7 linked regions of the Oryctolagus cuniculus genome follow. The protein of the gene in region 2 interacts with the protein of the main gene of each other region in a pairwise test. Links are inferred from orthologs where the notes say so. Each region holds a gene or a part of one and is shown on either strand. Other genes may lie near its edges.

What was found.
Region 1: the proteins of HOMEZ (region 2) and RNF8 interact in binary tests that used the Homo sapiens proteins (3 or more experiments, as listed by UniProt). The two-hybrid records come from large-scale screens. The link is inferred for Oryctolagus cuniculus from reciprocal best matches to the Homo sapiens genes HOMEZ and RNF8.
Region 3: the proteins of HOMEZ (region 2) and DEF6 interact in binary tests that used the Homo sapiens proteins (3 or more experiments, as listed by UniProt). The two-hybrid records come from large-scale screens. The link is inferred for Oryctolagus cuniculus from reciprocal best matches to the Homo sapiens genes HOMEZ and DEF6.
Region 4: the proteins of HOMEZ (region 2) and SH3RF2 interact in a two-hybrid assay, tested with the Homo sapiens proteins (2 studies listed by BioGRID). The two-hybrid records come from large-scale screens. The link is inferred for Oryctolagus cuniculus from reciprocal best matches to the Homo sapiens genes HOMEZ and SH3RF2.
Region 5: the proteins of HOMEZ (region 2) and LRRC7 interact in a two-hybrid assay, tested with the Homo sapiens proteins (2 studies listed by BioGRID). The two-hybrid records come from large-scale screens. The link is inferred for Oryctolagus cuniculus from reciprocal best matches to the Homo sapiens genes HOMEZ and LRRC7.
Region 6: the proteins of HOMEZ (region 2) and ELOA interact in binary tests that used the Homo sapiens proteins (3 or more experiments, as listed by UniProt). The two-hybrid records come from large-scale screens. The link is inferred for Oryctolagus cuniculus from reciprocal best matches to the Homo sapiens genes HOMEZ and ELOA.
Region 7: the proteins of HOMEZ (region 2) and SMYD1 interact in binary tests that used the Homo sapiens proteins (3 or more experiments, as listed by UniProt). The link is inferred for Oryctolagus cuniculus from reciprocal best matches to the Homo sapiens genes HOMEZ and SMYD1.

The regions. Positions count from the first base shown.
Region 1 is NC_091436.1:132,279,698-132,283,197, forward strand, and holds part of RNF8 (E3 ubiquitin-protein ligase RNF8), read right to left. Parts: intron 543-3,500; coding exon 414-542; intron 1-413. UniProt on the Homo sapiens protein: E3 ubiquitin-protein ligase that plays a key role in DNA damage signaling via 2 distinct roles: by mediating the 'Lys-63'-linked ubiquitination of histones H2A and H2AX and promoting the recruitment of DNA repair proteins at double-strand breaks (DSBs) sites, and by catalyzing 'Lys-48'-linked ubiquitination to remove target proteins from DNA damage sites.
Region 2 is NC_091443.1:51,758,801-51,761,928, reverse strand, and holds the end of HOMEZ (homeobox and leucine zipper protein Homez), read right to left. Parts: coding exon 1,606-3,128; 3' UTR 501-1,605; downstream 1-500. UniProt on the Homo sapiens protein: May function as a transcriptional regulator.
Region 3 is NC_091436.1:134,127,577-134,131,076, forward strand, and holds part of DEF6 (differentially expressed in FDCP 6 homolog), read right to left. Parts: intron 1,524-3,500; coding exon 1,383-1,523; intron 855-1,382; coding exon 669-854; intron 1-668.
Region 4 is NC_091437.1:33,520,294-33,523,793, reverse strand, and holds part of SH3RF2 (E3 ubiquitin-protein ligase SH3RF2), read right to left. Parts: intron 1,336-3,500; coding exon 980-1,335; intron 1-979. UniProt on the Homo sapiens protein: Has E3 ubiquitin-protein ligase activity. Acts as an anti-apoptotic regulator of the JNK pathway by ubiquitinating and promoting the degradation of SH3RF1, a scaffold protein that is required for pro-apoptotic JNK activation.
Region 5 is NC_091438.1:102,839,357-102,843,394, forward strand, and holds the start of LRRC7 (leucine-rich repeat-containing protein 7), read right to left. Parts: upstream 2,801-4,038; 5' UTR 2,614-2,800; coding exon 2,555-2,613; intron 1-2,554.
Region 6 is NC_091438.1:147,226,842-147,230,056, reverse strand, and holds the end of ELOA (elongin-A), read left to right. Parts: intron 1-108; coding exon 109-220; intron 221-1,179; coding exon 1,180-1,346; intron 1,347-2,341; coding exon 2,342-2,403; 3' UTR 2,404-2,715; downstream 2,716-3,215. UniProt on the Homo sapiens protein: SIII, also known as elongin, is a general transcription elongation factor that increases the RNA polymerase II transcription elongation past template-encoded arresting sites.
Region 7 is NC_091433.1:115,839,260-115,842,214, forward strand, and holds part of SMYD1 (histone-lysine N-methyltransferase SMYD1), read right to left. Parts: intron 2,062-2,955; coding exon 1,893-2,061; intron 590-1,892; coding exon 431-589; 3' UTR 1-430. UniProt on the Homo sapiens protein: Methylates histone H3 at 'Lys-4' (H3K4me), seems able to perform both mono-, di-, and trimethylation. Acts as a transcriptional repressor. Essential for cardiomyocyte differentiation and cardiac morphogenesis.

The sequences.
Region 1 (3,500 bases), on a different chromosome or scaffold from region 2:
CTCTGATTTAAAGCAGTGGGGAAAGAAAGGAGCTTAATGCAATCAGCTCACTTTCTTTCTCCTCCCTCTGGTGAACTCCAAAAGCTGTAGAAGATTCTAGGGTTTCTGGATCTTGCATCAAAAGGGTCAATTCCCACAGCAATTTAATCTAGTTTCTGGAATAGGACCTACGGCCTCCAACGCAAATGTTCACTTTAAGGGCACCAACTTCAATCTAAGTCATGGGAAATTATTTTAGCATCATCTAATCTCTAGCAAAACAGAGCAGTAGTTGCCTCTGGGAAAGAGAATGGGGTGGGAGGGCAGCAGGTAAACCGTTTGCATTTTGCTTCATAAATTATCTATGCAAAAAAAATTAATAATAAATTAAAAATTTTAAAAATCTTTAGTCCTCTTTCTGTGATTTCCTGTACCTTGTTGTCCATAATTGTCCACTGGCCCTCAGGATTCTGCTTCAAAACACAGTGCTTTCTGGAAATCATCAAAGGGCAGACTTTTGACACCAGTTGGTATGTGACACTAAATCCTCGTCCCAGAGACACCTAGGAAGGTAACAACAATGAAGAGACACAATCAATCATTATGCGAAATAGGGAGGCCCTCTACAAGCTTATCAACTAGTGTGGTACACAGATCCTGACCTACGAAACCCGGATTCCTGCAAAACCTACATAGATCCTCGGCGATTTCCTCTTCAGCTGCCACAAAGCCAGCACACAGAAAAAGGAAAGAAGTTACAAAAAGAAGAAGCTGAAAGGGATTAACCATGGAATGTAAAGGTTAGGAGGTCCTGGAAAGGTCATCTGGTTCAATCACCCATGACATTAAGGAATTATTTCCACACATCCCAATCAACAAATCTAAAACACAGCCAAGAACCACAGCGTTTAGATGAGACAGGCCCCCTGCTTTTCCAGTGGTCCTTTCTCCCTATACATTCCATCCATTGGCTGAGGCTCTGTCCTGGGCACTATCAGAAAATCCCCAACTCCCTTTCCAAGTCACAGCTATCTACCAAGTCTTCTCTCTTCCTGGCTCAGGAACCTAGTTACTTTAACCTTCCTCCAATGTACGGGTTTGAATCTCTGTCATTCTAATTGATCTGTGAAAGGACTCCTAGCTTATCTTTATTCCTGGATGTGGGGAGCAACCCGGACTAGACTGAGTTACTGGAATTAAGACTTATTCTATGCATCTGCTCTCCCACAATATGGCGCTGGGAGAGAAGAAAACAGCTTCTACACAGCTGCCTCCAGTTCAGCCAATAAACTGTAGGACTCGCTCCTGATTGGAGGAGAGCAGCGTACTCGGCGTGTGGGCAGCCGAGTTAGGATTGGCGGAGGAGGACTATAAAGGAGGAGAGAGACGGCATGCACCAGGAACATCTAAGGGGAACACCTGTGCAGCCCCCGAGAGAGCCGGCTGGCAGTGTGCCGCTCCCCTGCGGAAGTGGGGAATGTGGCCAGGGGGAACTGCCCTTCCACGGAGGTGGAAGGGACAGTAGCCAACCCGGGAAGAACCAGCAGCAAACCCGGGGAGGGCCGAGCAGACGAAAGAACAGCGCAGGGTCCTGTGTCGTTCCTCCACGAAGAGGGGGAGCGGCATAATGGTGCCATGACTCGGATATGAAGCCTAGGCAGGGTTTAGTGTCGTTCCTCCACGAAGAGGGGGAGCGACACCTGGATGCCATATTAAGAAAAATAAACTTAATTTCCATTACATAATCAAGGCCAAGCATCACTTTCCCAGTTCTTGATATTACCACTGCAGCATATAAATGGCATTAGCTTTCAAAGCAGATCCAGTGCCCTGGAAGGATATCCTCAAACTTAGAGATGTTTCCCCTCCCCCAAGAACTGCTATGCTAAATCATGTTTCTTCCAGCCTGTACTTGACTAGTTGGAAAAATCTGGATTCCAGTGCAGGACCTTACATTGATCCCTATTAAATTTCATCTTGTTAGTTCAGCCTATCACACCGGCTTGTCAAGACTTTTCTGATTTTTAATCCGCCATCAGATCAGACATACTCAATATTCCTTGCAGCTTTAAATCATTCACCAAATTGATATGCTTTCTGTACCTTCATCCAAGACACAAATATACTGAAATGGGATGTAGCCAAAGACAAAGCTCTCAAGAAAGCTTCTACTAACAGTCTGAGTGTAGCTTCAGTCATAATCCAATCCGAGTTTCTGCACTGAGTCCAAGTCCTCTGTCTCCCACAGGGACAAGGCTGAACAGAACGCTAATTCCCAACTGTCATGCTTTCCTGACTGACCTGTCTGGTTCACACAGCCCAGCGAAGGTGGGAAGTGAAACTCTTCTGTCATCTAGGCTTAGAATTCCATGCTTGCTGTTCTCAGTGCATAAACCACCTCCTTAATGATCCACATTGTAAACGTAGCTGGCAACATTAAATTAAAACCTGTGGTTTTTGAAAAACTACTCTTTATCGATTTTAAAATCTTCAGATTCACGCCTGTTTTCCTCTGTCCCTCAGACTGAGGACCGTGACTCTCTCTGACCTAATCTATTAGGTTTCCACAAACTCTCATCTCAGTAACCGACACTGCCATCTATACAAACTGCTCAGCCCCAAACCCACAAGCCCTCTTTGATCGATCTGTTCCTCAGCCCCAGATCTCAACTGGCAGCGATTCTATGGCAGTGACTCAAACACATCTCAGCCTACTCATTCCTATCCCCATGACCCCTACCCAAGTCCAAACCACTGGGCTTCTTGTTCCTGTTCTCATCCTCCTTAACTCTGTTCACACACACACCGGCTGGAGTGGTAATAAGAACTTTAAATCAGGTAACTTCCTTTCTTCCTTTAAAATCTTTCAATGATCCAAACTTCTTCCCAAAGCCGTAAAGCCGCCAATGTCCTGACCGCCTTCATGCCTTTCCCTTAGTGCCATGCACAGCCCAGACGCTAGTTGTTTCAGCCATCAGGCCTTCTCTTCATTCTGTCACCTCCCGCTCCAACATCCACTGACCTGGGAGCCTTCTCCCTTGTCCACTTGGCTTGGGGCACTCACTTCTCAGATCTTTATGCGGTGCTTTGTCACCTTTCAAGTTTCAGCGCCTCAGGTCTTGTTGCTATCTGCTCCCCTCCCCCATTGTATTTCTTCATGTTATTAGCATGCAGTTACCATGATCCAAAATTATCTTGTTTTACTTTTCCCTTCCCCTTTATTAGAATATGAACATCATAAGCAGGCACTTTATCTTTTTTTTTTTTTTAACAGCCAGAGTTAGACAGTGAGAGAGAGACAGAGAGAAAGGTCTTCCTTCCTTTAGTTTACCCCTCAAATGGCCACTACAGTCAGTGTGCTGCGCCGATCCGAAGCCAGGAACCAGGTGCTCCTGGTCTCCCATTCGGGTGCAGGGCCCAAGCACTTGGGCCATCCTCCACTGTCCTCCCGGGCCACAGCAGAGAGCTGGACTGGAAGAGGAGCAACCGGGACAGAATCTGGCGCTCCAACCAGGACTAGA
Region 2 (3,128 bases):
GTTCCACTGCCAGTGTTAACAAGTAACAACTCTGGTCTTTGTCCTCACTGATCACACTTTTCTGTTTACCTGTGTTTCTTCCAGGCCTACTTACTATTAAATGTGTTGATTTTCCTTTGTCAAAGTAGCAGTTGGAGACAGGGTTTCAGCTTACTCAAGCATGTAGATAATAAAATGAAAAGGATGCCTTCTTATTGACTATTGCAACTCTATTGTTACAAGCTCTAGAATGCTGGAATGGCCACACAAGTCGTCTCCAAGACTGTCACTGCTGAAGCCTCAGACCTCCTCCTCATCACCTGGCGGCTGGGAAGCAGAGTCTGCCTGGTGACAGATGCTAACCTGCTGCCTTTGAAAGTTTTTTGTTAAATTAACCTCATTAATTAAATTCAGTTCACCTCATAAGTACACCTGCCCCTTCAAAATATAAAAACATGAATGGACTTGGTTCCATTAATTCCTAAACCATAGAAGTGGCAAAGTGGAGAAGAGAGAAACAGTTTTATTTTTGGCCTTTTTATTCTAGCAATCAGAGGCTTCCAATCTTATTTTTAGATGGTTATCTATTTGCTTTATATGTGAACCCAACCAATGAAAACCATTCTAAAACATCGATAATAAATTCCATGAGAAACAATGGTCCCTTTGTCTCCAATTCAGATCCTTTAGAGAGAAGGAAAAGCCTCTTTTCTGGACAAAAACTGACCCGATAGCAAAAAGATGAAAATCCAGTCTCTGTCAAGCTGGACAGGAGGTAGTGTCAGGTTTGTAAAACCAAACCTGGAACCTACTTCCATGGAACACCCTTTGACTAGAAAAAACCATCCCTCTTCCAACCTTATAATTCTGTTTTAAAAGGACATCTCTCCTAACTCCCACCTCAATAAATATCCAGTCAAAAGTATTCTCCACCGTTATTAAACTTTTCCACAAACTCTGTGGGGGGAAGATTTACCCTGAGACAAACAGAGAACAGAGAGGGGATTTTGGAAAGAGATAAAAAGTACAAGGCAAAGTGGTCCCAGTGTTGGAAATGAGAACATTCTGCTGCCTGTGTGATTTCACCGATGAGGCAGGTGAAAGGTAACGTCAGGTGGGTATGAGGAAGAGGAGTTATTTGTGATGAGACTGGGACATGTTGAGACTCTTAGCTGTATGTCGCATGGACCTGTACTCTGAGAGAAAAGCAGGATGCAAGGCAGCCTTGAATTCTAGGGGAAATGGTGGGGTTGGGGATGCCCTGGAACCAACTGTGTCAGGATTGCTTGCTCCTCCTTTGCAGCCCTCCTGCTGATGCGGGGCCAAGGTCAGGCCTCTAGTATACTGAGGGAAAAACCAGCAGATACAGGAAAGCAGGAGCCGGCTCCCAGCCCATCATTTGGCCAGATCCTTAGTAGTCTTTACCATGAGGCTGGAGGCCTGGGTTTCCTTTGTGTCCTCTGGTCATCCTCCCTGGCCCACCCTCACTCTATGCCCCTCACCCACCCTGAAGAACAGAGAGCTTTTCAGTTCTTTGCCACAAAGTAATTAAAAAGAGGTGGTTTCTTTGTTTAAACAGTTACTAAATTGGTTCATCTCCAATCTCCAGCCCCACCCACCCCCCCATCAGTCCTGTATGATCACATCATCATCGTCATCGTTGTCCTCCTCATCTTCCTCCTCCTCCTCTTCCTCCCCATCTTCTGGCAATTCTTCCTCCTCTTCCTCTTCGTCTTCATCTAGACAAACTACAACCTCAGCTGGCTCAGGTAATCGAGAGTCAAACCAGTCCCGAACCTGCTGGGTGCTAAGCCTTGATGCCTGACTCAGTTGAGGGATATCACTTTCCCGCAGCTGTTGGTGGGCTGCCCAGTATCTCTCCAGGGGTCGGATATCCGGTGGGGGTGGGGGGATCGGCAGAGGTGGTGTCTCAGCCCATTCATTCAAAGAGCGGGTCGATGGTGGTGGTGTAGGATTGGCCGGGTCTTGGAAACTAGGGGCACCAGGTACTGCATTGTCCCGAAACCATTTTAGTTGCCCATGCTTCAAGGCATAGCGTGTGTCACCAAACCACTGAATGATCTCAGGACGAGGTAAACCAGTGATCTGTTCTAATTTATGGTAATCCTCACGTCGTGCCCATTGGCACTGTAAAAAAAAGGATTTGAGGATAGCCAGCTGCTCTTTGGTTTTGCGTTTAGTCTTTCGCTGGCGTTGCATATCTGGGGAGAGATACTCCATGGGGCCAACCCTACCTGGTACTGAGTTATGCCTTAGCCCTTGGGGCCAGGCTGCCTCCAGATGTGGGGGTAGTGCCTGTTCACTGGGTGACAGTGACTGTGGGACACAGCCCAGTGGCTGCAAGCGTTTAGAGGTGGCAGTGGCTCCATTAGCCAGTACCTGGTAAGAGGAAGAAGAGGTAGAGGAAGGAGGAGGAGTCACACTAGATGCTGACTCCTCCTTACAACTACTGGCGAGTAATGAGACCGGTGGGGGCTTATCTCTAGCACGCGGCTGGTGGACACCTGTGGAGTGGTTCCAGGAAGCAGTGCCTACAGCACGTGACTGCTCAGGACCCCCACCTGCCTGCTCCTTACAGAGGCTACTGCTTTGAAGATCCTGCCAAAAATCAGATTGATGGGGGAATGCTCCACTGGCAGGTGTCAGCAAGGGCTCCTTTGCTTTCTGGTGACTTAGTGGCAATGGTGGTATCTGAGAGGACTCCTCAGGCTCGACCTTCAGTCCTTTCACCTGAGTGGGCGCGCTGGGAGTCAGAGGACCTATTCCAAGACCGACTTGTTCCGGGTGTGGCATTGGAGAAGGAGGCACCTCCTCTGGGGGCCGCCCTGCGTGATGAGTGAAAGAGAGAAGGGATTTGAAATGAAGTTGGTCCCGGTGATAGACCACGCGGGCCCGAGTCTCTTCTATTTCTTCAGAGGACCAGCTAATGCCACAGCGCAGGCGCTGGGCCATGAACCAGGTCTTGACCTTCTCCATCTGCAGCCCGTAACGTAGGCAAAGAAGGGCAATGTCTGCTAGACTGGGGTAGGGAAAGTAGCTGAAGGTTTGCAGCAGGTGTTCATTGCTGTCCAGCTCACTGGTCTGGGCTGCTTGGGTCCATACGAGCTGTAGCTCCTCAGAGATCGGAG
Region 3 (3,500 bases), on a different chromosome or scaffold from region 2:
ATGGACACCTACGCTGAAGACCTGAATTCAGTCTGGCACCTGCACAGCTGCCACGAAGACTAAGGGTTGGGAGCAGATCAAATGGGCAGGGGGGTCGGTGCTGAGAACGGCTGTCCTGGCTCTGCCTGGGGCCAGACTCCTGGCCCCTTCTCCCAGGGTGCCATCTCTCACCCTGAGATGAGTCTCCTTGGCTCTGTTGGAGGAAGGCCGAGGGGAAGCCGGGAGCCAGGGCCAGTCTCGGGTGCTCCCCAGGAGTCATCGGGCAGTTACTCCTGTTTCAGGAAGGTCTTCTTCCCTCACAAAGCACCCCACCTATGTGGTCCCACCACCACAACTGCACTATTTGATCTTCCGTATCTCGTTTTAAAACACTCTCGTTTTAAAATGTTGGGCATTTAGGTCTCTGTGTAAATAGAACTTTCCGATGATTTTGCTAGGTGCAGGCTAGCAGAACCCTGATGGAAGTGTGCTTTTGGCTCTCCTGGAAGAAGGCACTGTTGCTCTGACTGTTCTAGGTGGGCAGTTCTAGATACATGGAGACAGCTGGGTGTGGTGCACGGGGAGAGAAAGAATCAGGATGTGGGAAAGTGCAGGAGCGATTTGGCCTTCTTCATGGTTTCTCTGAGGCCTGACCTGTAGTGACTCAGTCCCCCGACCATCACCCTCACCTCATCAGGAACCATGATCAGCGGGTACTTGTCCTCAGACAGGAAGTTGAAGAGGCACCAGAGCCGGAAAGCGTCCTGATTGGAGAGCATGCTGTTCCCGTTGCTGTCCGCTCGGTAGTTCTTCTTCGCCGTCAGGGTCCAGCACAGCTCATCAAAGTGCTCTTTAACAAAAGCCCCCTCCTCCACCTGCCACCAGACCTGCAGGTGAGCCAGCTGCCCCATCCCTGCTCTGTCACCAAGCTAGGTTCCAGCTCAGCCCACCAGGCTCCACCCTGGACTTGAATAGCAGGTAAGCAGCAGGCTCCATCCCCCACCCCCCATATCCAAATCCCACCCAAATCCCCTGATGACAGAGGAATTCCAGTCCCTCAGCACAGGGGAGAAAGCGGGGGAAACCCAGGGGGCATGAACAGCCAAGGAGAACCTGGGAAGAAGGTGACAGGAGGACTGCTGGGAGGGGGCGGGGGGGGGTGGAGGGTCCCTTGGAGAGGTCATGAGCTGGGACACAGTCTGGAGGCCAGAACACAGATGAAGGACATTAAAGGGACAAGGAGGGGGGCTGGGATGTAAGGACAGGATGGGAGAGCAGGGATGGACAGAGAGGGCAGAAGAGCAAGCCTATCTGAGAAAACGTTGCAGTGGCAAGGTATTGGGACGCTGGCCGGGCTAAGGAAGCATCGAGAGGCTAGAGGTGTCCCACAAGCTGGGCCGCACCTTGTCCAGGATGTACTTGTTGAGGTAGGGCATATAGCCCTGGCTGGACACGGGGCCATCGTCGTCATCTCGGAAGTGCTCCTCCAGGGCCACGGGGTCATGGGGGATGTGCAGGACCGTGTACAGGTTGTGGGACAGCACCTGAGACACAGTGGCAGTGGGCCTTCCTATACCCCAACCAAAACCAGGCCAGCACTCCCACATCCCTGCCTGTCCCCACCCCCATCCTGGCTGAGGTCTCTGCACCCACTGTTCAGTTCAGTGATATGTAAAACTCATACACTTACCATGCGCCAAGCCCAGAGAAAAGTTCTTAATGTGTTATTCACTTGGCCACCATAACAACTACTCATATCCCATTTGCAGAGGATAGACCACCAGAGGCCCCGAAATATTCCTCATCCGAGGTTGCGGCTGGCAGAGCAAGGATTCCAACCCAGGCAGCCATAATCTCAACCACCCCATTAGGTCTACAGACAAGGACACGGAGGCCCAGGGGGCTCATTAACTCGCCCAAGGATCCACAGTGAGCAAGAGCTTGGGTTTCCAGGACTGTGTTGTGGTGCAGCAGGCTAAACCACCACCTGTGCCACTGGCATCCCTTATGGGCTCCAGTTCAGGTTCCACCTGCTCCACTTCAGGGATCCAGCTCCCTGCTAAGGTGTCTGTCAAAGCAACAGAAGATGGCCTGAGTGCTTGGGCTCCTGCCGCCCGAATGGAGCTCCATGCTCCTGACTTTGTTTTTTTTTGTTTTTTTTGTTTGTTTGTTTGTTTTTGTTTTTTGTTTTTTTTGTTTTTTTTTTTTGACAGGCAGAGTGGACAGTGAGAGAGAGAGACAGAGAGAAAGGTCTTCCTTTGCCGTTGGTTCACCCTCCAATGGCCGCCGCGGCCAGCGCGCTGCGGCCAGCGCACCGCGCTGATCCGATGGCAGGAGCCAGGAGCCAGGTGCTTTTCCTGGTCTCCCATGGGGTGCAGGGCCCAAGCACCTGGGCCATCCTCCACTGCACTCCCTGGCCACAGCAGAGGGCTGGCCTGGAAGAGGGGCAACCGGGACAGAATCCGGCGCCCCGACCGGGACTAGAACCCGGTGTGCCGGCGCCGCTAGGCGGAGGATTAGCCTAGTGAGCCGCGGCGCCGGCTCATGCTCCTGACTTTGGCCTGACCCACCGCTGACTGTTGCTGCCATCTGGGACATGAACCAGTGGATGAAAGATTCTTGCCTTCCTGCCTGCCTCTCTCTCTCTCTCTCTCTCTCTCTCTCTGCCTTTTAAATTGAGCCATCTTCTGCTGCTTTCCCAGACACATCAGCAGGGAGATGGATTGGAAGTGGAGCAGCTGGAACCCGAACTGGTGCCCATATGGGATGCTAGTGTCACAGGCAACTGCTCAACCCTATATGCCACAATGCTAGTCCCAATAAATATTAAAAAAAAAAAAAAAGAAGAAGAAGAAGAAGGAAGAAGAGAAGAGAAGAGAAGAGAAGAGAAGAGAAGAGAAGAGAAGAGAAGAGAAAAAGAAAAGGAAGAAAAGAAAAGAAGACAAGAGCTTGGAATTCAAATCCAGCCCTGTCAGATTCCAAAGCCTAAGAGCTTGCAGGGAGGTGGTTGCCACCCCAGGGCAGAAGTCCCGAATCTGTCCGTTTCCATCAGACTCAGCGTGCAGACTGCAGCTTGCCTAGCATCCAGCCGTGTGTGTCCTGGAAGGACCCCTCCGAAGACTGAAGGGAGCTGGGAGGGGTGAGAGAAGGCCAAGAGAAGTGGGGGCCACGGCTGAGAGGGCATCGTGGTTGTGACAGTGTGCAGGGAAATGTGGTTCATTGAACAAATGCATGATATTAGAACAAAGGAGTTGAAGTTTTCAAGACGTGATAAAAAAAAAAAAATTCATGTATCCAATGGCCTTGGGGTAATTCTGTAAGAGCTGTTAGCATAGTCGGTGTGAATGATTAGAAACAGTCACCATTGCACACTTAGCATGCACCAGCCACTGTACGAGAGGCTTTTCCCAGCCTCCTTCTAGTCTCCTGACCTTGTCACACAGGTATTATTATTTCTGTTTTTCAGTTGAAGATAAGGAGGCTTGGAGGATCTAAGAGTAAATGGCAGAGCTGAAGTTGGA
Region 4 (3,500 bases), on a different chromosome or scaffold from region 2:
GATGGGACTTGTGAAGACCTATCAGGTTGTTAGTATTCAGTAAGTGCTTACCAAATAGGAGGAACCCACATCCCTTTTGCATTTGTGAGTGACAGTGGTATTGTGGTAACTGTGTTGGTAGTGCTCTTAGTGGTGATGGTGGTGACAGTGGTAGTGATGATGGTGGTAATGGTAGTAGTTGTAGTGCTGGTGGTGGTGCTGATGGTGGTGAGGATGATGATGGTGGTGACAGTGGTAGTGATGACGGTGGTGCTGCTGGTGGTACTGTTGGTGGTGAGGATGATGGTGGTAGTGGGAGTGCTGCTGCTGTTGGTGGTATTGATGATGATGATGGTGGTAGGAAGGTGGTAATGGTGAGATGGTGGTAATAGCAGTGGTTATGATGATGGTGGTGGTGGTGTGTAAAAAACTAAAAGGCACAATGAGTATCACCTGATTTTCTTAATGTCACTTCTTCTTTCCACCATCCCTCCTGCTTCAAGAATATTCAAGACTTGTATCTTCTCTGGGAAAAGCCCTGGCCTGGAAGTCTTAGTTGCCTCTTTAATACAATAATTATGTTTCAAACCCCATGTAAATGCTTCCTATATCTTCTCATCCAAAAAGGCCATTCTTGTGTGGCTGTTGTTATTCTTATTCCTCTTTAACAGATTAGGCTAAATAAATAACTAAATAAATAGTTTCAAGAGGGTGAAGTATGTTGGCTGAAGTTGCCCAGCCAGCAAGCAGCAGAGCTGAAATTCAAATCAAGATTTGTCTGGTGCCAAAAGCACATTTCATGTAACATACCTGGGAAGCACAACAGATAATCAGTAGCGTGTCTGGGAGTGGTGATGGGTATGGAGATGTGTGTGTGGGGGGGTTCTTTTGAGGCTGCAGTTTTGTTCCTTGTCCGCTAACACTAAAGTTTCAGGAGCTGGGACACCATGCAGAGTTGGAGGCCTGCAGAGTCAGGGCTGCAGATTTAAGCCCCTCCTACCTTTTCAATGCCATTTCTTGAGTTTTCGGGTTTCACCAGGATGGATGGTGGAGCAGAAGCAGGCGGTTTTGGCAGAGGCTCACTCTTGATGGGGATTTCCTTGCCTTCCATGATGAGAGAGCTGGCGGCCGAGTGCACCCTGGAGTCGCTGCTCTTGCTCATACAGGTGAGGGCTGGCTCTCCCATAGGAGCAGGTTTGGGACCCACCTCCAGCACCGCTGAGGGGGATGAGGGGGCCCCCTGAGGCTGGTAGAACTGGAACTGCTGAGGTTGTAGCACCATGGTGGGGCTACGCCTGAGGGAGCCCACCACAAGGGTGGGGATCCCAGATGGAACGGGTCTCTGCAAGGATCCATCTGGGGAATGACACGACAGAGATGTCAGCAACAGGGCGGCAGACAGTGGGTGTGGTCGGGGCTGGGGAAGCAGTGTGTGCTGATATCCCAGAGTAGTTAAGTGCTTTCCTAATTGGACTACACTCTCATTCTCTTAGGGTCTTTGAGAGGTGACCTTATTCTTTCTTTAGTGCTATTTGCTGATGTTGGCAGCAAATAACTGGCTAGCTGAATGTTGTATGTATGGCAGGCATGTCAGAGGTACACTGCTGCCCTTCTCTCTCTCTCTCTCTCTCTCTCTCTCTCTCTCTCTCTCTCTCTCTCACACACACACACACACACACACACACACACACACTCCTTTCTCCTAGGCTTTTGAGACAGATTGAAGAAGAGAGACAGCTTTTTAGTAAGAAGCAGGCAGACCAGAGAAAGGACACAAGAGACAGAGAACTTGAGACACACAAGAGGAAGACAGCTAAGAGAATGAGGAGGAGGATAAAGGGGGTGGAGGGAGGTGCTGTACCCCTGCTTGCTGCACAAAGTCCCAATGTGAGCTTTAGGTGTGTGTTGGTGGCATCAAGGGAAGATGAGTGGAAGGAGTAGAGAGTGCTCATGCTGGACAAATGGGCCACTCAGTGGAATACTCGGGAAGTTTATTCCTGTGTTAGGGCTGTGTGTGGGCGAGCTTTGCAGGTGTTGTGACACAGGGTCTGGAATCAGACCTCCTCCCCCGGAGCTGGGGATGAGGAAGTCACATCACCTCCCTCACTGGTGAGCAGGAGGTAATGAGAGGATGTCACGGGACTGTGGTGAGGACGACGTATTACGATGCGTGCAAGGTACTAGAACAGTGCCTGGGACATGGTAAATGCCCCTTCCTCGTCAGCTACCATTCATTCCTTCTGGGTAAAGGGTAGCATACGCTAAAAATGCAAGGCCTAATGGTTTGATTTTGATCCTTCCTGAACTCGTTCTTCTTCCTTCTTCTTAAGATTGAGAAGGTCTTCCCTCAGTAAAAGGAAGCCCTCCCTTTCCCTCAAATTCTCTGAAGACAGGAGATCCCTACACTGCAGGTGACCTGGGGAATTAGGACTTCATTACATTCTGGAGGCTGGAGACACGTAGACAGCCACTGGCTGTGTCCCAGCCAGATATGTTTGTCCTTTGCGACACTCCACAGACATGTGTTTGACCAAAGTAATTTGTGTCCAGCACAGAGGCCCGAGCCAGGCCACATTGTGCACTGTGGCTCTTCATTGAGCAGATGTGAACATGAAGAGCCAAACACTCACTAAACACAGTCGGGGTTCTCAGCTGCCTCAAGCAAGCCCGTCACCGTCTACACAAGGCTGACCTTTCAATTTAGACATTGATTTTTCCACTGACAGTCCTGTGAGGTGTACATGGTCAATTCCCCTGTCATTTTGCTTTGCTTTGCAGAGATTGATAGCTTGTCCCGCTTCACCTTGGGAAAAGGTAGAGGAGAAAGCCTTGGGGGCCTAGGAGGCCAAAGCAGCACCAGACAGACAGGTCCTTAGGCTCCCATAAATGGGTGAAAAATTGGTTTCATGCCCTACCCATTTATCTTGTGGGTTCCTAATTTCCAACACAGTGAATGCTTTCTTATTCCAAGTACACACAAGGCAAGCAAAATGCCAGGCCAATCAAGATTCATGCAGAGGGAGGAGCGGAGGGGAGTATAATAAGGGGAGTGCGAGCGGACACCTGTGGGATGCCGTTCTCTGCACTCCTAAGTGGTCTACACTGTGAACAATTTGACTCCAAGCTCAGTTGTGGTCTACCTGAACCCAAGATGGTCTGTTTAGCTATAGTGGCAATGGTAGCACTAGTCAAATAAAACTTTTATTCAAAATTACCCTTTCTGGAGGGCTTTCAACGTGCCAGGCTCTGTGCCGTCAGCCTTCCATGGTTTATTTTATTAAATCCTTAGACTGCATGCTCATGAAGTAGATGTTGTTTTTATTTCCACTTTATAAAGAAGAAAACGTAAGACTGAAAGGATTGGTCAGTTACCAAAGTGATCATAGAGGGATTATTTATGTCGTGTGTAGAATGCGGGGGGAGGGACATGCAGAAGAGGGGACTTGAGGTTGTGGAAGGGAGGCAGGTTGGGTGGAAGGAAGGGGCCAGAATCGTGGGGCTGGTGGCCCAGCAGGTTGTCA
Region 5 (4,038 bases), on a different chromosome or scaffold from region 2:
TTATAGGTTATAACTGTTACACTCTAGTATAAACCACTATCTTAATATTATCATTACATTTAAAATATTGAAATACTCAACATCTCCCACTGATTAACTAGACTCACAAAAATAATGTGGATAATACTCTACCAACCTGTCATTGCTACTAGAACAATAAATTACATAATGTCTTTTATGAATGGTTGTTATAATTGACAGGTTGAATGAGTAGCATATATTTTCAAAATTCAGAATTTTGAAAAATATTAAATAATTTGTTAATATGGAAAATTTAATGAGAATCCATAAATAATTCCAATGATAATTTATCAATAGTTGTTTACTCTTTGTGTACTTGGTTGACTCTGGAATGCAATTATAATATTATAGAATGTGTGATCCCCTTTAAAATGAGAACAAAGTCTTTCAGAAAATAGAATTGTAATATCAATAGATATAATTTTGATATATCTATTAAAATCTAATGTGTCTGAAGTTTCCAAGTGTTGTTAAAAAGTATATGCTTTAAGTCATGGTTAAAGATATTAGGTTTTTACATCAAATAGTATCATACAATATTATGTATTGAAAGAAGGGCTGAGAAATATCCCGAAAAATTAACACCAGGTAGATAATATGGTTAATAACTCTATTAAGAAATAAGGATTCATATTAATTTGTATCTTTCCATTTTTAAAAAAAATCCAAAGCATAAATTCAAACACAACAATACTTTAGGTCTATGTTCTATATTTTACAGAGGAATTAAAAAAATTAAAAGCTCGTGAAAGAAAGTAGAATTAGATTTTAATTAAGAAAATGTTAATGTCAGCCTAAAGCTATGCTAAAATTCTGAATAAAACATGGCTACTGTAATTGGACCAGATCTGTTTCCTTAGGAAGTTGTTTCTAATTCTGAAGCTGCATATGTGCAAGCATAAGTGATGGAGAACGTAACGGTTGCCATGGTTAAGTACGCATCTTTTCTTGGACAGTCAAATGTTTAAAAAATGTATAAGGAGTTCTCATGATATGTTATGGAAATTGATTCTGCTTTCCTTACCACACAAGTTAGTATGATGCAATGAAGTAGGAGACAGAAATAGCCCACAGTTTAAAAAACTTCAGCCCATTAAGATGGCTTATAAAAAGTGGAGTAAAGATGATACAAGAAATCTCCAAGTCAGGTCACTCTAAATTAGTGTTGGGTAGGCAGTAGGTTCTAACTCCACTAAATTAATGAATAACCAGACCGTAGGACATTTCACAGCCCTCAGATAACACAGGAGTCCAAATGCAGTCCTTGCTAAACACACCTCCAGTATGCTTTTGTCTTGATATTCCTAAGGAAAAATAAACATTCCTACATCCCTACTTTCTCATTCTTTCCTAGCTGGGATCAGGGGTTTCCAGGAGGCAGGGACTTGAGTATCATACTGTCTTTTGCAAAAAAGATCTCCTGGTGGTTCCCTTAGAATCCGGAAGTCAGATTAATGAAGCCCAGGATAGAGGCGTGACACTGGGACTGGAGAGGTGGTAAGTTCTGTTTGGAATCCAGGCAGGTTCTGAGGCGCTGAAGAGCCCACGTGTGAAGGGGCTGGAGAACTTTTCCACCGCTTTCCCATTGGAAATGCCTGATTTTTAAATAGGGGGCCGGCTGGGGGGAGGGGTTAGACAGAAGGTGGGCAGTAAAAAAGAAATGGCAGAGGAGGTTTCAAGCCCTTCACAGCTTATCGATTTACGCATGATCTTTTCCCCCTTTATTCTCACCTCTGGCCAACTTGACTATTTTGCCCTTTTATAGAACGACTTAAGCAGCCGGGATGCTAAGCATCTCATAGGCTCAGCCTGGAACAAAGAAAACCGAGTTCCTAACACTGTATCTCTCCCGTTGGAGGGATCACGTGTCCTGCTTTCGCTGGAATGCACTCTTCTCGCCCACGCTATAAAATCTCTATTGTGCTTAGAAATTTTGCTCACACACAAACTGCTTTTCATCCATCACGAGGGCTACATTTCAACGTATACAGGTACGTATATTTACCTGCTGACCCAGTTACCCCTGCAAGTAAATTCGGTATGTCCAAGGTGTATTGGGAAAGTAACCGAAAAGAGCAGGTGGAAGACCCCCGTGTGTCACCCATCCCACCCCACCCCCCTCGCTTTTGGAAGGAGAACTCCGAAAGGAACGTGGGAGTCGCAGATGGTTCCTTTCTGAAGCCCATTCCCGGGAGTTGTGAAAGTGACCCCTTCCCTTCTCCGCCTCCCGCTGCGCGCTCCCGCCCCCGCCCCCCCTCCCCAATTCGTTCCCTTTGTGCCTTGGTGGGGAGGAGGCTGCGAGAGAGGAAAGGGAGGAGAGGGCGGAGGCGGGTCCTTTATTCAGCCCTGATGGCCGAGAAGTAGTGTAATGAAGCAATTTTGCAGCCATCTCGTCTATTATGAAGTCACACTGTCTTTAAAAGCAATCCATGCACCCCCTACCCGCCGCCCCTGTTCTTGACTCCGCAAACAGTAAAACTGCAGACCGCCAGTAGCCAATCTAACTGCCCGCGAGCCAGGGTGCCAGGATCACCTTAATGCTAATGTGCTTCCCTTCTTCTTTCCTCGTAGGATCCGAACCAAGTCCTGCATCCTAAACGCCTCAGAAAGGAGGATGCAAAATGCTGAAGGGGGCCCCGGCTGGATGGGGAATAGTGCAGGTTCACCAGCTTCTCAGTGCAACACAAAGGAGATGTGCAGGCAGGAGTTGTGTAGCTCAGCGGAGGGGGCCATCATTCTCCCTGACTCCCAGGGAAAGCGTTCACCCTACCGCCACCCCACTTCTCTCTGTCCCCCAGCCTGTCATGGTCCTTCCTCCACTCCATCCCCACAAACCCCACCCTTTCCCACCGAACCCCAATGGCATAAAGATCTCCTAACTGCATTTGTCAAATCCATACGAATTAAGACAGTCATCCAACACCTTCCACAATAAAGGGACAAGTGCAACCTGCCACAAGTGTGTGTGTGTGTGTGTGTGTGTGAGAGAGAGAGAGAGAGAGAGAGAGAGAGATTAAACACGCGCTTCATCCCTCAGACACCTCCTGGCAAAAGCAAACCGAGATGCCCAAGATAACGAAGAGGAGCTTTAGCCAAACCTCAGCTGGAGCAGTGGTCCCAGCACCAGCTCCCAACGTTCGCTCTTTACCTCTCCTTTTCGCAGTATGTAACCCTTTAGGGTCTCTCGCCAGCCCAGACCACTCGGTGTTCCCGTGCACCCGCCCAGTTAGCACCCAATTTCCAAAAGCCCTGAAACCTACCACATCCCCGCCGCCGCCTCCGCGGCCACCGTGCGAGCTACTCGGAACGAGCGCCCCAGCCTCGCGCCCTCCCGCCCCCGCCCCCCCCGGGGGGGAGGGAGACCCTCACCTCCGGGGAGACCCCCGCAGTCCCCTCAGTCACCGAGAGAAAGTGCCTTACTCACATGGCCGGTGGGAGAAACTGCCCATGAGGTTCCGGAGAGCGAGAGAGGTGCAGCTGCCAAGGATTATTCCTTAAAGTGCTCGGTGGTCCGCAGTGGAGTGGGCGCGAGGGTCCTCGCAGGAGGAGGAGGAGAGGGGAGGAGGAGGACGAGGAGGAGAAAGAGGGGATTCCAGGCAGGTGCCACGTTAGACCATGGTGCCGGTGCCCTTCAGGTGGACGGCTGGAGAGGTTCCCGCGGGAAGCGCCGAGGGGAAGCCCGAAGCGCCGGCGGGGGAGGCAGGAGCGCGTCCACTCCCCAGCCTCCGCCTGCCCTGCGCGCCGCGCTAGCGACCGCAGCAGCAGCGGCAGCGGCGGCGGCGGCGGTGGCGGTGGCGGAGGCGCAGCTCCTTCCCCACCCCCAGAAGGCTCCACAGACAATAAATCCTGGGCGGAGAAGAGACGAGCAGGCGAGGCGAATCGGGCACCCAACTCCGTACCACGCTCTGCCCGCAGCTGCGCCTCCGCGGGGCGAGGATCCCCGGGGGCCGGAGCGCAGTGGGCAGCTCTGAGGGGGCTGTGCGCTCCCGCCGCTGCAGGCTACTGCGGTGGTCCGAG
Region 6 (3,215 bases), on a different chromosome or scaffold from region 2:
TTCTGGGTTGATGAACAACCTCTAGCTCCGGGGACCTGGACCGCTGCAGATGGCGTCTCTGCTCAAGGAGGCGCATGGGCAGGTGGGCAGCTCCATGTTCCTCCACAGGCAGACAAGCAAAGATGGCCTTCGTCAACTCTGTGGCCAAGCCGCCTCGCGACGTCCGAAGGAGGCAGGAGAAGTTCGGAACGGGAGGAGCAGTTGTCGCTGACAGAATCAAGTAAGCGCTCTGTTCTTGCTTGGGGAAGAGAGCTGGGAGGTCGTCTTCCCCACTGCGAGGGAGCCGTGGGTGCGGGAAGCAACTCGCCCATGGTGGGGATGGCCCTCGGCCAGCTCAACGCTCTGCCCCCCGAGCCTGGACTCCTGGACAGCAGCATAAGGCAGATTGTTTTCCTGTGCCTTAGGGCTGTCAGGATTAACCTGGACACAGGACCCGGCACAGCGGAAGCACTCACTGGCTTTCCTTTTCCCTGTTTAAGCAAAATTATTGCATCTAAGCCACATAGACATTTTCTCTTTATTTAAAAAATTTTTTAAAAATTTTATTTATTGGAGAGGTAGTTACAGAGAAGGGGAAAGACAGAGAGAGAGAGAGGTCTTCTATGCGCTGGTTCACTCCCTAGATGGCTGCAGCAGCCTGGCAGAAGCTTAGCCTGCTGTGCCACAGTGTGGCCCCTACATGAGCATTTTCAGAAGAGAGTCCGGAACCTAAGAAATGAAAGGAGATGAAGCCAGCGTTGTGGCACAGCGGGTAAAGCAGCTGCCTGTGGTGCCTGCATCTCGTGTGGATGCTGGTTCGAGTCTTGGTTGCTCTACTTCCCACCTGGCTCCCTGCTAAAACACCTGGGAAAGCAGTGGAAGATGGCCCAGATGCTTGGGTGCCTACACCCATGGGAGAGGCCAGCCCCAGCCATTGCAGCCGTATGGGAAGTGAACCAGCGGGTGGAAGATCAATCTCTCTCTCTCTGACATTCAAATATTATCTTCATTTAAAAAAAGAAACAGTGAGAGTTGAGGCTCTCATTCATTCTGAAAGGCTGATGCAGCAGCCATCCCTGTGCCGCCACCAGAATCCAGGGCGCCCGCATCCGCCGGTCAGAGCCGCAGGAGGAACCACACTGTCCGTGCTGAGGGCAGATCTCTTCTGCTCGTGACTGCCCAGCTGTGTTCTTGTTACAGGATTAAGCCCGCCCCGTACACCGGCGGAAGCAGCCACACCTCCGGCAGCAACAGCTTTAACGCCAGCCCCGAGGAGCCGGCCTACGACGGCCCGAGCACCAGCAGTGCCCACCTGGCGCCAGTGGTCAGCACTGTTTCCTACGATCCTCGCAAGCCAACTGTGAAGAGTGAGTAACTCGGGTTCCTGCTGAGCCCCCTGCATGCAGCGACTGTTGCATTGCGTCCTGTGTGTGTGTGTGTGGGGGGGGGGGTGTTGCTTCTGAAGGACGCCTCCCAGGCGCTGGGCTGCACGGCGGCCCCTCCTCCCCACCCCGCCATGTCGGCGATGGTGTGAGATCGTAGTATTGGAGGTAACATGAGCCTGTTTCTCTGGGGAAGTGGTCGTTACTACCGACAGCTAAGTGTAACATCTTACTTGAGTCTTATAACCTTCTAAATATTTTTTTTCTCTTTTTGGATCTATTTTTTACTTTATTAGCTTCATTACCATAGACCAGCAGTAGTCTGTGATAGAACCGTTTTTCTGCCAAGGGCCATTTGGATATGTATAACATTGTTCGCTGGTCCCATGCAGAATTATCAACCCACAAATCAGCCTGCTGTAGATGTATTGAATCTTGAGTGCCGCCTGAGGTTGCCTTGGCAAGGCCAGCCCAAAGGAGCTGTGGGCTTTGCACGGCCCACGGGTGCATGCACGATCCCCAGGATCCCCAAGGGAGTCCTGACTTAAGTATTTTGTGTTCTTGGCTGGGCCCAAGCATCAGGTTCACCTGTTGCGAGTCAGGAGTTTGTGCGGCTCATCTCGGACTTGGACAGCATGAGGGACGGCGGGAGTGCTGGTCACTGATTGGACATCTGCGAGGCCACGTTAGATTACTGCCGAGTCTGGCAAGGAGGGAACCCCAGCTCTGCCCTGACACAGTGACCGTGGGCCCTGCGGGGGCCGGGGTGAGAGCGGCGGCCCCGCCCACAGGTCCTCAGCGAGTGCCGCTCTGTGCTGTCGCCTCTGTTGCGGTGTCAGCAGATTCACTGATGGCATCCGTCTGTCTGCCGGTGCACAGCGGAAAGGGGAAAGGCTTGGCGCTGCTCGCAGACCCCGGTGGTGCCGGCGCGTGTCTGCGCCGCCACAGATCTAAAGCGACTGCCCGGTTTCTTTCTACAGAAATTGCCCCGATGATGGCCAAGACGATAAAAGCTTTCAAGAACAGATTCTCCCGACGATAAAACTGAGGGCCCTCCTGGGAGCTGGAATTGTTGGGGGCAGGAAGAGAACAGTGGAGGCCGGGGGTTGGAACTTCCGAAGGAGACCAGGAGCCTTGCGTGGTGAAGACGGTGGTCCCTGAGCGCGGGCGATGCCCGTGCGCCCCGGCCCGGCCCCACTGCCTGCAGCACACTTCAGGATTCTGGAGGAGACGTGAAGCCTCAGTGCACTGAGGATTTTAAGGTCAATTATACTTTTGTTGTTAATTAGCATCTTTGTAAACTATAAGACATAGTTTTAATTAATAAATATTGCTCCCAGATTGTATTTATATTCCCCCCCCCAGCTTTTTTTTTTTTTTTTTTTTTTTTTTGTTTGGTCCTCTACCACTCACTTAGCCTTTTTCCCCCGGGTTCTTTATTAGAGTTCATGAAAAGTGCAGAACAAGCTATTTCCCTGTTCCAGCTCGGCTCTGCTGGGCGGACTCCGGTCCGGAGGGAGGCCTGTGTGGGACGAGGAGTGCCAGGGAGCGAGCCTTCCCGTGGGCCAGGACCGCTCCACGTTCCCGCGCCGCGGCATCTCTCACTCGGTCACTAGTGTTCATTTAGGGAGGCTGTCGGCCAGGGCGCCCGCTGCCCTCCATCCACTTTGTCAGTTACCGCTGTGTTTCCTGGGTTCTGTTTGTTTTGCGGCTCACCAGAGGGCACAGAACCTTGGGAGATGAATTTGTACCGAATCCCAGCATTTTGATAATTTCCAATTTCTGATTCAAAATTTCAGATTTTATTTATTTTTTTCCCCACTTTTCTATCTTTCCTGCTGTCCCTCGGCATGG
Region 7 (2,955 bases), on a different chromosome or scaffold from region 2:
CAGCTCTGACGTCTTCCTCTCCACGCCACTCCACGCCACTCACACGCACACAACAGACTCACATATTCTTGGCCAGCCCCTCTCTCTCCAATATAACTTGCCACTGCATTTATTACCTGGTGCTTTCATTGTTGACAGTTTGCCTCGCTACCCCACTACATTCAGAGCACCCTTTGTTGGATGTTAGGGTCTAGCATCCAATGAATATCTGTAGGAGGAGCTGGGCTGGATTGAGAGAGGTACATTACATGGAAATGAATTGAACTGAACCAAAATGACAATGGGAACACAAGACAAGACACTCTCACAGCAAGAAGATTGCATGTCACCCTGACTTCTTCATCAAGGGTCTTCCCAAAGACCCACCACCTCCAGAATCGCTCCTCAGTTCCCCAGCCATGCTGCCCCCCAGCCTCAACCTGGAGGGTCCTTATTGCTTCTTATGGAACAGAGCCGGGGCTGGCTCGTTGCTGGGCTCGGCCATGACCTGCATGGGCTGGTTGTTGAGGGCAGCCTCGCGCATCTTGTAGTACATGAACTCGTTCTGGCGGAACATGCGCAGCTCCATCTCCGTCTGCACCCGCATGGCCTGTGGGACACAGAGACACCATAAACAGGTGGCAAGGCCCCAGGACATGTGGCCTTGGGCCGACCTTGGGGTGAGTGGCTCTCAGGCACCAAGATTCAAGTCTTCCCCCAGGACACACACATACTCAAGCACCAGAGGCCTCATGCCCTGGCAGGGGCCCAGAGTGTTAGGGAGAGGGAGTCAGATCCCTGAGTGACTGGAGGGATTGTTCTCAGCAGAGGGAGTTTGTTCTCAGGAACTGAAAGTGTGAGGACCTGGATTTGAACCCTGGCTCCTGTGTTTAATGAGACCTCAGGCCAGTGACCTAGCCCTCAATTTTCTCACCCTTGAAATGGGAAACTTGCAGTGGGCTGGGAGAGAGCAGTGTGACACTCAGGCAAGCTCTCCTTCTGCCATATACCTGTTCAGAACATCCTTGCTAAAGGCCGCTGAGGGTGCTGAGGGTACCCCAGTGACTAAGATAGCAAAGACTGCCCTGACCCAGCAGCACGCAAGACAGAGTGGCTACCTCCACTTTCCGTTCCTTGCTTGGTCCCGTTTTATAGGGAAGAAGACTGATGACCTGCTAGTAAAGGGACAGCCACAGCTGATGTCACACTAGTCCTGTTACAGCCATTCTGCAAGCCAATGCATGACACAAAATCTGTCAGCTGTCCCTGGACTGCACCGTCTGAGGACTGCCTGTCACTCTCCAGCAAACCAGTCCTTCAAAGCACAAAGGAAACCAGCAGCCATTGCCATCACCCCACTTGTCAGATGCCGTGCTAAGGGCTTTTACACACGAATTCCTTGAACCCTCACCGCAATGCTATCTTCTTCACCCATTTTACTGATGTGCAGACTGAGGTCTACAGAATCAATATTTACAAACTCACACAGCTAGAAAGCTTCCCACTCTGGAATTTAATCCCGAGAGTGATTCCAGAGCTTTTGATCCAAAACTCCACTCTCTGTAGCACAGAGCACTTTCTAGGACAGATGGCTGTACACATGAACACACACACACTCACCGCTGTTGGGCTTTCTCTGGGCAGGCTTGGGCCATCAAGTTGCCACAGACTAAGGGTTCAAGTCTCAGCTTTGCCATCAGCCAGTCATGTGACCACAGACAGATGACTCCCCACCCCTAGGCCTCAGTCTCCTCAGTTGTACAACGAGGGGAGCAGGCGGAAGTGTTCTGAGTCCCCTCTGGGATAGATGTCAGTTTCTGGACTTGTCTGCAGCAGCGTCTACCTGACCTCAGACTGGTATCTTCAGGGAGGTCAGACTAGGCAGGGAGCACCGGGCCCTCGGTTCTACTTGCCTCTAAGTCCTTGGTGATGGGGTGGGAGGGTCCGTGTGTCACCAGGAGAATGGCGTAGGCTTTGCAGATCATCCCGTGCCCCACTTCAATGTTGCCAGCGTGCCAGTTGGTCAGCCCTGCCCGCATCACAGCCATGCCCAGTTGGGCATTATTGGGGTGGTAGAGCTTCCTGTAGGGCAAATAATCAAGACCCATCATGGCAACCATCTTTACAATTGTATGTCATTGGACAGCTGGTATAGTGCCCTTGTGGGTTAAGTCCTTCTGCTTCTCCCACTGGTGCTACAAGGCATCTGTGGCTGGCCAAGAGGGAAACCAGGTGCAGAGACTTGCCAAACACCTCCCCACCCCCACGATGAGGCTGTGAGAGCTAGCACTCAGACCTGGGCCACCAATCCAAGCCCTCTCGGAGAACAGAGCCAGGATGGCCCTCTGGGCTTGGATACAGGGAGCCGGAAGCTCTCAGGAAGGACTGCCACAGCCTCCTCCCTGGGGAGTGACGGGACATTCAAGGGGGAGACAGTGTTGTATTTTTCACCTCCATGACACCTCTTGGCAGGGGTTCTCTTTTCAGTACATTGTACAGCCCACCCGCGCTTTTTTTATGACTAGCAGCCTCTCCCAAGAAATGAACCTTCTTGTGCCAACTTACTCATTTGGCCAGAAATTCAGTCACATGCCAAAATGGGTACAGAAGGCAAGAGTGGTTATTTGCAGAGGGAAGGCAAGGGAGTCGCATTTTACAATTTATAAGCAAGGATGGCAGGTGTATCTTCTGTTTTTTAAAATAAAAGATAGTTTGCAAGATTGCTTATGCTGATTGTTAGGAAAGGTTTTCATTAAGCTGGAATTAGAAGTAAGAAGACAAAAAGCGTAAGATGCCACCCGAGTGGTAGATGAGATGGGGAATTTGACAAAGAACAGGGGTGACAAATAGGTTGTATCCCAAATCCCAACTCTGACTGGATATTGTGCTCAGAGGGTCACCATAAAAAGGCTCAGTTACAAAGAGAATCATTATTGATTACTAATGCCTGCTGGGGGTGCAGGAGGGAGGGTTAGC